Linked DNA regions of Macaca fascicularis. The main gene of each other region encodes a partner of the protein of the gene in region 2 in a complex. Links are inferred from orthologs where the notes say so. Each region holds a gene or a part of one and is shown on either strand. Other genes may lie near its edges.

Region 1 (5,006 bases), on a different chromosome or scaffold from region 2:
CTTTTATAGTCTCCACTGAGACCTTTCTCTTATACATCCCCAAATATTTGGTAAACTGTACGTGTCCTAGGTTGTAAGTGCCATAAAAACAAAGCATGACCTTTTAGCTTAACAGTAGTGTTTATATAGAAAGTGGATTAGTTTGGTATTAAGAAGGTTTTTCTTTTTTTGAGACAGAGTCTCGCTCTGTCGCCAGGCTGGAATGCAATGGTGCAATCACAGTTCACTGCAACTGCCGCCTCCAGTCAAGTGATTCTCCTGCCTCAGCCTCCCAAGTAGCTGGGACTCCAGGCATGCGCCACCATGCCCTGCTAATTTTTTTGTGTTTTCAGTAGAGACGGAATTTCACTGTGTTGGCCAGGATGGTCTCGATTTCTTGACCTCATGATCCGCCCGCCTTGGCCTCCCAAAAAATCCCCTGTTGGGATTACAGGCGTGAGCCTTTTTGTTCATTATGTTGTAACATTATTAACTCATGGCAAGCCTGTTTTTAAGATTATAAAATGGTTTTCTAAAGCCAAATTTTAATTAACTGTACCTGAAGAGCAGCTTGAAAACATGGCTCTTAAGTATGCAGGAGAACAGACATTCAGGGCAGGGTACTTTCCATTAGGAACTGCCTAATAAGTCTAGGAAAAATCTTTATTGCTAAGAGGACTTAGCAGTGTATATATTCAGGGTAGAGAAGTATAATGAAGAAAAACGGTGCCCTTGTATTCCGATAGCGTGTGGCATGCAGGTTTCTGCCAGTTAGATGTGATTGTTAAATTACAGTCTTGAAAAATGTTGTATTCTCCCCCTGTGTTTACAGGCAGAAATGGATATTACCTTGAGAAGAGTCACATGGTATTTTCACAAAAGAGCCAAAAAACCTTCAATTCTACATAATTAGGCACATTTCTAATATGCCTTTTGTTCTAAGGGGACAACATATGAAAGTAGCAGTAGGATTTTTTTTTCTATAATCCAGGATTATCCTGAACATCACCAGTGATACCAAAGTATCAAACCAAATCTGGAGTTTGATCTCACCCAGAGCACGCTTGGCATGTTCTCAGCAGAAAACACCTTCTCTATATATCTCCTTTTACCTGTTTCCTGTAAAATGGGAAGGAATAATGAGTGGACTACTTTATTATCAGTTAAACTAGATTTGGGCCAGGATGTGGTGACTAAGGCCTGTAATTTCAGCAGTTTGGGAGGCCAAGGTGTGAGGATCATTTGAGCCCAGGAGTTCAAGACCAGCCTGGGCAACAGTGAGACCCCCTCTCTACAAAAAATTAGCCATGTGCCTTTGGTCCCAGCTCTACAGGAAGCTGAGGCAGGGATATCGCTTGAGCCCAGACCCTGTTTGTGCCACTGCACTCCAGCCTGGGGGACAGAGCGAGACTCTGTCTAAGAAAAGGATTTAAAATGAAAAATCATCCAGCAGAATGCTCAGTATTACTAAAATCTGTGAGTTTATAGATATCTTCTAGTTTATTTAATAAAAGCTATTTTATTATAACAACTAATGTATGGATTTTTTTTATTAGATGGAAACAATATGAAGCATATGTACAAGCTTTGGAGGGCAAGTACACAGATCTTAACTGTAAGTTTGAGTTTTAGCTTCTTAAAGACTGAATAATCTCCTTTTGATCGTTGTTACAATCAAAAGGGTAATTGGTTTTATTAAAGCAAATGTAATTTTTCTGGTGTTTTATTACAAGAACTATACAGAGGCACTTTTGGGTGCAAGAAAATATAAAGGTGAATGAGACATAGTCATTGGAGAAAACAGACATGTAATACTCATGTAATGGCGTGACTTAGCAAAATTATATGCAAGGTTCTGAGTATAGATACAGTAACTCAGAACTACTTGAAACTTTTCTTACCTGTCCCTAACCCCTTCTACATAGGAATTTGACTTGAAGCGTGAGTTACTAGTCTAGAAGAGAAATAAATAGAAGCAACTAGTAACAGATTTATGACAGGTTAAATTAATATGTATAACTTAATTATATGTAATATATAATTACAGATTTTTTAAATCTGCTGAAAATAACAAAGTTTATCATTTTAAGCCATTTTAGTCTCAGTTTTTACTGTTTGAACCACATACTATTTGTTGAGTATAAAAACCAATATATATTGTTTTCTAACTTCAGAAGGGTTAATACCCTGAAATTCTAATTTTACGTGACTGTGTTATCCAAAGAAATCATGAACATTATGAATGATTAAGGCTGGGCACAGTGGCTCACACCTATAATCCCAGCGCTTTGAGAGGCCAAGGTGGGAAGATACTTGAGCCCAGGAGTTTGAGACCAGCATAGGCAGCATAGGGAGACCTTGTCTCTACCAAAAAAAAAAAATGAGTCAGGAGGATCACTTGAGCCTGAGAGGTCAAGGCTACATACAGTGAGCCCTGATTGTGCCACTGGACTCCTGTCTGGGTAACAGAATAAGATCCTGCCTCAAAGTTTAAAATACAAATTGTCCAGCAGTTACTATCATATTATTTATTTGTTTGTTTATCTGAGACAATCTCGCACCGTCGCCCAGACTGGAATGCAGTGGCACAATTTGGACTTAGTGCAACCTCCACCTCCCAGATTCAAGTCATTCGCCTGCCCCAGCCTCCCAAGTGGCTGGGATTACAGACATGCACCACCACGACCGGCTAATTTTGTATTTTTAGTAGAGATGGTGTTTCACCATGTTGGTCAGGCTGGTCTCAAACTCCTGGCCTCAGGTGATCTACCCGCCTCGCCTCCCAAAGTGCTGGGATTACAGGCGTGAGCCACTGTGCCCAGACAGCATTTTTATATTAAATAGGTTAAAACATACTCATCAGGATTTTGTGCATACTGTAAAACACAAATGTTTCCTGTCTTCTGTTGGGAATAGATGAAACTATGAAAACATAATTCAGTTGGTAGTCATGGAGCACTATGACACCTTGCCTTCTAAATGAGCTGTCATGACCAGGAAATAATTTGCTTGTTATAAAAGTAGTTAGGATGGAAATTAAAGACTTGATTAATTTTTTGACCCTAGTTTTTAATTGTTCTTGACAGAAGTATTTGAACTTGATCTTAAAATTATATTTATAATTATTTTTTAAATCATCAGCTAATGATGTAACTGGCCTAAGAGAGTCTGAAGAAAAACTAAAGCAACAACAGCAGGAGTCTGCACGCAGGGAAAACATCCTTGTAATGCGACTAGCAACCAAGGAACAAGAGATGCAAGAGTGTACTGTAAGTATTTCAAGTTATATAAATGTCTTTAGTTGAGGAATTGGTTTTTAGTCTGCCTTATTGCTTGTTAATTTTAAACACCTAATACTAAATATAAGAGGTTTTTTTTTTATAGGTATGTACACTTAGAGCGTTAAGTATACCAGGTGAAAAATTTTGATAATGTCTCTTCATTTAAACAAATTTTTTTTTTGGCCAAGAAGGCAATAGTTTTAAGTTGTGTTTTGAAATTTTCATGCATTGTGAATATTAGTTCATCAATTCCAGACATTTTTCAGATATCTTGGTGTCTGAGGGTATAATCAATAAAAGAGCATTTGCTCCTTATTGCTTTACTTTCACTGGTTAGGAAAGCCATCTGATGACTTTACCTCTGCTCTCTTGTCCCCTCTATGTATAGAACTGTTTTTCCTAGTGCCAGCAACTTCTTCAACGTGTCCTTTTTAATTGTTAGAACTTTGATGTGTACTGTGTAGTATTTACTATGTCTATGTAGATCTGAAATCTAGTGACATAATTGATCATCCAGCTCTGGTAGTTTAGACTCAATCTTACAGTGTAATTATACAAAATAATTAGAGGCAGCTGTATCCTTGTTTCTGATTTTAAAATCTGAATGTTTCTTCAATTCTTTGGGTACTCTCCATTCATTTGATACATATTGAAGTCTTCTAATGTGTTATTAAAATCTTCTAAGGTAGTATTCTGATCACTGGAGACAGCAAAAATCTATGGGCACAGTCCTTTTCCTGTTTGTTTTACCAATAGAGTGTTCCTTAAGGCCCAGTCACAGTCCTTTTACTTCCTGTACAGAGATTGTTTAAATTTCCACAAAAGTACCTATTTACTCTTTCACTTTTTACTAAATGACTTCTTTACATTTTGCTTTGCTAAAGGCTGACTTTTATCATTTTCTTTCCCTTTTTTTTGTTTGTTTATTTTTGTTTTTGTTGTTGTTGTTTTAGTTTGTTGTTATTTCCCCCTTTTCTTGAGACAGGGCCTCTTATCCATGCTGAAGTGCAGTGGTATAATCCTAGCTCACTTCAGCTTCCTGAGTAACTGGGACTATAGTCACGTGCCACCAAGCCTAGCTAATTTTTTAATTTTTGTAGAGATGGGGTCTTCCCTATGTTGCCCAGGTTGAACTCCTGGCCTTTGGCAATCCTTACTCCTTGGCCTCCCAAAACTGTTGGGATTATAGGTGTGAGCCATCACACCTGGCCCATTATCATTTTCTCTACCTTCTCACCACATTTTGTTCTTTTGTTTCTGTCAGTTTTGTTGTAATTCTCACACCACTGATACTTTTTTCTCCAGTTACTTATGAATGTTTTTTAACAAATTTCCCTTTTCACGAAAAATGGATCTTACCTTTAGACTGCTAGCACTTGGGAGATAGATTGTGAATAGATGGTGTTGATGGTAATATCTCATAGGATCGGAATGTCTTTTTCCTTTTCTGTTCCAGATTCCTACTCTTGACATCATAGTTGGTGTGTGCTATTCATGCACCTCTGATTCTCCATCTGTCCTATATACACTGGCGGTTTTGATCATATTATGCCTGGTCAGGGCCTTTGGTGATACCTCATCACTCTTGTCTGCTTGACCTGGAATTTTTTTTTTTTTTTTTTTTTTTGAGACAGAGTCTCGCTCTGTCGCCCAGGCTGGAGTGCAGTGGCCAGATCTCAGCTCACTGCAAGCTCCGCCTCCCGGGTTCACGCCATTCTCTTGCCTCAGCCTCCCGAGCAGCTGGGA
Region 2 (5,678 bases):
ATACAAGTCAAGAGATACTCATATCTAAAAAAGAAAAAATAAACATAAAAAAGGATATTTACATGCAGGGAGAATACAGTCTTAGTGTCAAAAATATTAAACATGTTTAGCAAGGACCTGGATGAAAGTATCAAGGCTCTAGTAGTTAGGTCTGATACAGCAAAAAGTTTGGCTAATACCAAAATGTAGCTAATATCATGGAAAAATGAAATGGCCGGGCACAGTGGCTCATGCCTGTAATCCCAGCACTTTGGGAGGCCGAGGCAGGCGGATCATGAGGTCAGGAGATCAAGAGCATCCTGGCTAACACGGTGAAACCCCGTTTCTACTAAAAATACAAAAAAATTAGCTACGTGTGGTGGCATGCACCTGTAGTCCCAGCTACTCGGGGGGCTGAGGCAGGAGAATCGTGCCATTGCACTCCAGCTTGGGCAACAAGAGCAAAACTCCGCCTCAAAAAAAAACCCAAAAAAACAAAAAACAACAAAAAAGAAAAATGAAATGAAGCTTAAAATGACCAAGAACAATTAGAATCATTCATTGAAAGAGTATGAATTTAGAAATGGAAAAGTATAAAGAAGTACGATGCCCGGCACAGTGGCTCACACCTGTAATCCCAACACTTTGGGAAACCGAGGCGGGCAGATCACCTGAGGTCCAGAGTTCGAGACCAGCCTGACCAACATGGAGAAACCCTGTCTCTACTAAAAATACAAAATTAGCCGGGAGTGGTGACACATTCCTGTAATCCCAGCTACTCGGGAGGCTGAGGCAGGAGAATCGCCTGAACCTGGGAGGTGGAGGTTGCGGTGAGCTGAGATCGCACCATTGCACTCCAGCCTGGGAAACAAGAGCAAAAACTCCGTCTCAAAAAAAGAAAATAAGTATGATGAGGAACAATTAAAACCAAGAAACAACCACCACCACCACAGACAGAGGATGGTCTGTTACAAAACGACAGAAACGTGAACACAAAGTAATCAATGATGTAGTACACCAATATAGTGGCTTTTTAAAAGTTAATTTTGTAGGCCAGGCCTGGTGGCTCATCACGCCTGTAATCCCAGCACTTTGGGAGGCCAAGGCGAGTGGACTGCTTTAGCTCAGGAGTTCAGAGACCAGCCCGGGCAACATGGTGAAACCCCGGCTACCAAAAATACAAAAATTAGCTGGGCGTGGTAGCACACGCCTGTGGCCCCAGCTACTTGAAAGGCTGAAGTGGGAGGACTGCTGGAGCCTGGGAAGTCAAGGCAGCGGTGAGCCATGATCATGCCACAGCACTCCAGCCTGGGTGACAGAGGGAGACTCTGTCTCTAACTAACTAAATAATTTTGCAGATCACTCTGTTGAAACAAACAACTACCTGATCCTCAGGTCCCTTTTTGCAACTGCCATTACTGAAAGGGAAAAGATTCCACAAGAAAATTAAATAGCCTGGATATGGTGGCTCTCACCCGTAATTCAAACACTTTGGGAGGCTTAGGCAAGAGGACAGCTTGAGCCCAGGTGTTCAAGACAAATTTGGGCAACATAATGAGACCTTATCGCTATTAAAAATTTAAAAATTAGCCAGGCATGGTGGCATGCCCCTGTAGTCCTAGCTACTCACAGGATGAGCTGGGAGGACTGCTACACTCCAGCCTGGGCAACGATGAGAGACCCTATCTCAAAAACAGAAGCAAAAAAAGTCGCTGGCATCATTTATGCACATTTTTAAAAAGTTTCAAAACAGAAAACCAAAGAATAGGGGAAACAAAACAAAACAAAAAATTGTATCTATAAATAAATCAATGAAGTTTCTAGAGCAAGGAAAAAAAAAAAAAAACTCTGCCTCTTAGGTAATTCAGGAACTACTCCGAGACTTGACTACTAATTATTGCCTGATCAAATGACTTGCACTTCTTACTCTACTATCCTCCCCTCTTACCTCTTTAATTATCTAGGTCCTATATAGCCATAAAGGCCAAATTCAAGTGCCAATTCCACTATGATGGCTTTGATGGCTTCACTACCTACACCAGCTCTTGTTAGTTCTCTTCACTGTACAGAATGTAGATTCATTCGTTTGGTTTCATACATATATCCTATCATATTCCTTTTTGTAAGCATCTACCTTTGAATCCTATGGTTTTTAAAATTCTTGAGGACAGGGGCAATTTCTTACTTATTTTTGTCTAGTTAGACCCATGAACACTGTAGCTAAGAAAGGATAATTAATTAGGTGAGAGGATCCTGCCAGTGTATCTTCTATTTCTAGGGGCCAGAATATGAGCACATGAACCTAACATGATCTAGACAAGATTTAGAGATGGAGTTGAAGATACTGACAAATATTGGAACAATCTATCACAAGGGTGATATTGAGTCACTATTTTTGCAGAGCTTTGTTACTAGTTTGCCTTAAATAATTCAGAGTTTGTCCTGGGGGTAAGGAGTGGATAAGAGTGAACTTAACAATCTTTTAAATTTCCTTCAAGTTTTATGATCGCGACATAGGGGCAACAGGAGAGGAGAAAAAGTTTGGAAATCAAACACAAATGTTTTCAGGTTCCTGCTAGGTATGTAAATTGCTAAGACAATGCCGGTAGGGGTACTCATTCAAAAACACCGAATGCCACTCTGTACGGGCCACTAAATTGGACACTGTGGATATGAAGGTTCATTCCTTGCTTACCGTACCCACAGGTGCCAAAAAATGACCACTACAAAATAGTCGTTGTAACTGAGGGAACAAAGCGCCATAGCAGCAACAAAAAGGGGTTCTTGCTGCTTCGTGGGATAGGGGGCTGAGAAGCCTCACAAAGGCGACGTCCTCGTAGTCTAAAGAGGAATGGGCAAGGAGGACGAGGGTGGGGCTCAAGCATCCGTCCGATAGAAGTGAGCAAGAAGAACCGAGGCCCAGGGTGAGGAGGAACAGCGAACTACTTGCAGAAGGGCGAAGGTCTGTGCTGCTGAAGGGGGAGATGGAGTACCAATGTACGAGGCTTTATAGAAATGGCCGTTTGGTAAAGGGCAGTAACTCTGGAGCTTTTTCTCTAGGGATCCCGCCCGTCCTCCCCAGTTGAGCCTCGGCCCCAGCAGCCCAGTGCCTCACCCAAATGCCCCGAGTCCTGCTTCCGCCTCCGCTGCAGCCTCTCCCGCAGAGAGTCCAGCTGCTTCTTGTGGGCCTGGATAGAGCTCCACGTGTCCGACATCCTAGTCTCCCAGCCCTGACGCCTCTCGAATAAGGCGCGGCGGACTAGCACCTCCCAGCACTCGCTCCAGGATATAACCAATTCTCACGCGGGCACCCCGAAGGCTAACCGGAAAATGACCCCTAGAGATGAGCAAGACAGAAAAGTCATTTCCGGTGTCGCGCTTTCTTGGAAGCTCTAAAGAGAGCCACGTTAGGTGTTGGCAGAGCGGCCAATATAGTCTTTATTACCTGCTCTCTCTTGCTTCCGGGCACAGTGAGGCTGTGGTTGCCATGTTGGTGACTGGCAGAGCGGCCATGTTGCTTATAGACGCGCATGCGGCCATGTTGAATATTCGGAGAGGAGTCCTGAGAGGTAACCTATGTTAAAATAGCACTCATAAAGAGCAACACCGTATAGTACAGATTTTTTTTTTTTTTTTTTTTTTTTTGAGATGGAGTCTCACTCTGTCACTCAGGCTGGAGTGCAATGGCGTGGTCTCAGCTCACTGCAACCTCCGCCTCCCGGGTTAAAGTGATTCTCCCGCCTCAGCCTCCAGAGTAGCTGGAATTACAGGTGCGTGCCACCACACCCAGGTAATTTTTGTATTTTAGTAGAGACAGGGGCTTCACTTTGTTGGCCAGGCTGGTCTCGAACTCCTGACCTCGTGATCCGCTTACCTCAGCCTCCCAAAGTGCTGGGATTACAGGCGTGAGCCATTGAGCCCGGCCTGACACAGAGTTTCATTCTTATCACCCAAGCTGGTGTGCAGTGGTGTGATCTCAGCTCACTCCGCCTCCCAGATTCTAGCTGCCTCAGCCTACCTAGTAGCAGGTATTACAGGCGCCTGCCACCACGCCCAGTTAACTTTGTATTTTTAGTAGAGATGGGGTTTCACCATGTTGGCCAGGCTGGTCTTGAACTCGTGACCTTAGGTCATCAGCCTGCCTTGACTTTCCAGCGTGCTGGGATTACAGGTGTGAGCCACCGGCTTGGCCTTTTTTTTTTTTTTTTAATGGAGCTCCCTGAATGGAAACATTTCCAGAATCACTGACTTATCCAATGTCTACATGATGCCATACACTGTGTCCAAAAAATACAAAAAAAATAGTTTGACTGGCATGGCTCCTGTTTTCAAAGAGTTTATGATCTGGTAAAGGAGCTATGAGCCAGTTTATTAATACTGAACCATCTTTACAGCATGAGGTAGCATGAGCATAGACTCTTTAAAAAACAAAAACAAAACAACAACAACAACAAACGTAATTTCAAAGAAGAGGAGGACTGCAAGTTTAAGGACCCAGGAAGACATTGGAAAGAAGCTGGCATCAAGGTGCAGGCTTGAAGTGACCGCTAAGTTTTCAGTAGGTGAAGGTATAGGAGGGAAATCCAGGTCTAGAATATGATAAAGGCAAAGGTCTAGACTAGAGGTAGGAAAGCACGGTGTGTGTTATGTCAATCCGGATTAGTTCGCCAGAACATAAAAGATTTGTATTTGGGAATATTGGGAGAAATTTTAGGTTCCCAAATTTGAGGCCAGATTGCAGAAGGTACATGGTACCTGAGTAAAGACTTGGCAATTTATTCAGAATACAATAGGAAACAATTAAAGTTTGTAAATAGAAATGTTTCAAAATTGATCTACTGTTCTAGATAAATTGAAGTGAGGAGGAAGGAGATTTAGGAGAGGAGAAAGATGGTTAGTAGTCCATTGTAACTAAGTGTCTGATGAGAAGAACTTTAACTAAAAGCTGGTTATGAACAGTAATGAAAAGGAAGGGGTGAATATGAAGGGAGCTATTGAAAGATTGTAATATGACTTTTATCCATTCAGTAAGTATTGAGTGACTACTATGTGTTAGATACTATGGAGATTTAGTAGTGATCAAAATACTCATTTCCATCTCATTTTCTGAACTTAATTTACTTTTAGGGAATTTACACTGTCTTTTGGGATGTGTAACTTTGTTTTTTTGTTTTTGTTTTATTAAGATAAGCCTCACTCTTTCACTGCTGGAGGGCAGTGGTGCAAAGAAGTAGCACAAGTACTCCTGAAAGTCAGTCAAATCAAGGGCAGCTCTCAGAAGTTTTTGCTTTCACATTAACTCTGGGTAAATTATTACAGTGGCATATTGGGCAAATTTTTTGAAGTACAGGAAGGTCTCTTATGATATTCTTATAGAGAGATTCTTTTTAGACTCCTCTTGACCAGTTTGCTGCTCAAAAGAAAGATACTGCTTTCTTGTCAGCCCAGCAGCCACAGAGGAGGAGGAGGAGGAGGAAGGAAAAATGCAGACAGACTTCTTCTAGTCAAAACAGAGTGTAAGCCTAATTTTGAGCAGATGGGTGCTGCATGCATTACACTTCTGAACTTTTCCTCATATCTGCTGTGGTAGATTGCTTCCAGAGTTGGCCACAACAATGCCTCCCACCCACTTGCCTTCAGGCAGTGTGACTTTGCCCCCTTTCAATCAATAAGTAAAGCTTATTCTCCCTCCTCTTGAA

Evidence for each region. The genes of interacting proteins can lie anywhere in the genome.
Region 1: METTL3 (region 2) and WTAP share a complex: the UniProt entries of both Homo sapiens proteins name them as parts of the WMM complex. The link is inferred for Macaca fascicularis from reciprocal best matches to the Homo sapiens genes METTL3 and WTAP.

The regions. Positions count from the first base shown.
Region 1 is NC_088378.1:11,244,416-11,249,421, reverse strand, and holds part of WTAP (pre-mRNA-splicing regulator WTAP), read left to right. Parts: intron 1-1,535; coding exon 1,536-1,594; intron 1,595-3,120; coding exon 3,121-3,248; intron 3,249-5,006. UniProt on the Homo sapiens protein: Associated component of the WMM complex, a complex that mediates N6-methyladenosine (m6A) methylation of RNAs, a modification that plays a role in the efficiency of mRNA splicing and RNA processing.
Region 2 is NC_088381.1:89,184,532-89,190,209, forward strand, and holds the start of METTL3 (N(6)-adenosine-methyltransferase catalytic subunit METTL3), read right to left. Parts: upstream 3,305-5,678; 5' UTR 3,195-3,304; coding exon 3,095-3,194; intron 1-3,094. UniProt on the Homo sapiens protein: The METTL3-METTL14 heterodimer forms a N6-methyltransferase complex that methylates adenosine residues at the N(6) position of some RNAs and regulates various processes such as the circadian clock, differentiation of embryonic and hematopoietic stem cells, cortical neurogenesis, response to DNA damage, differentiation of T-cells and primary miRNA processing.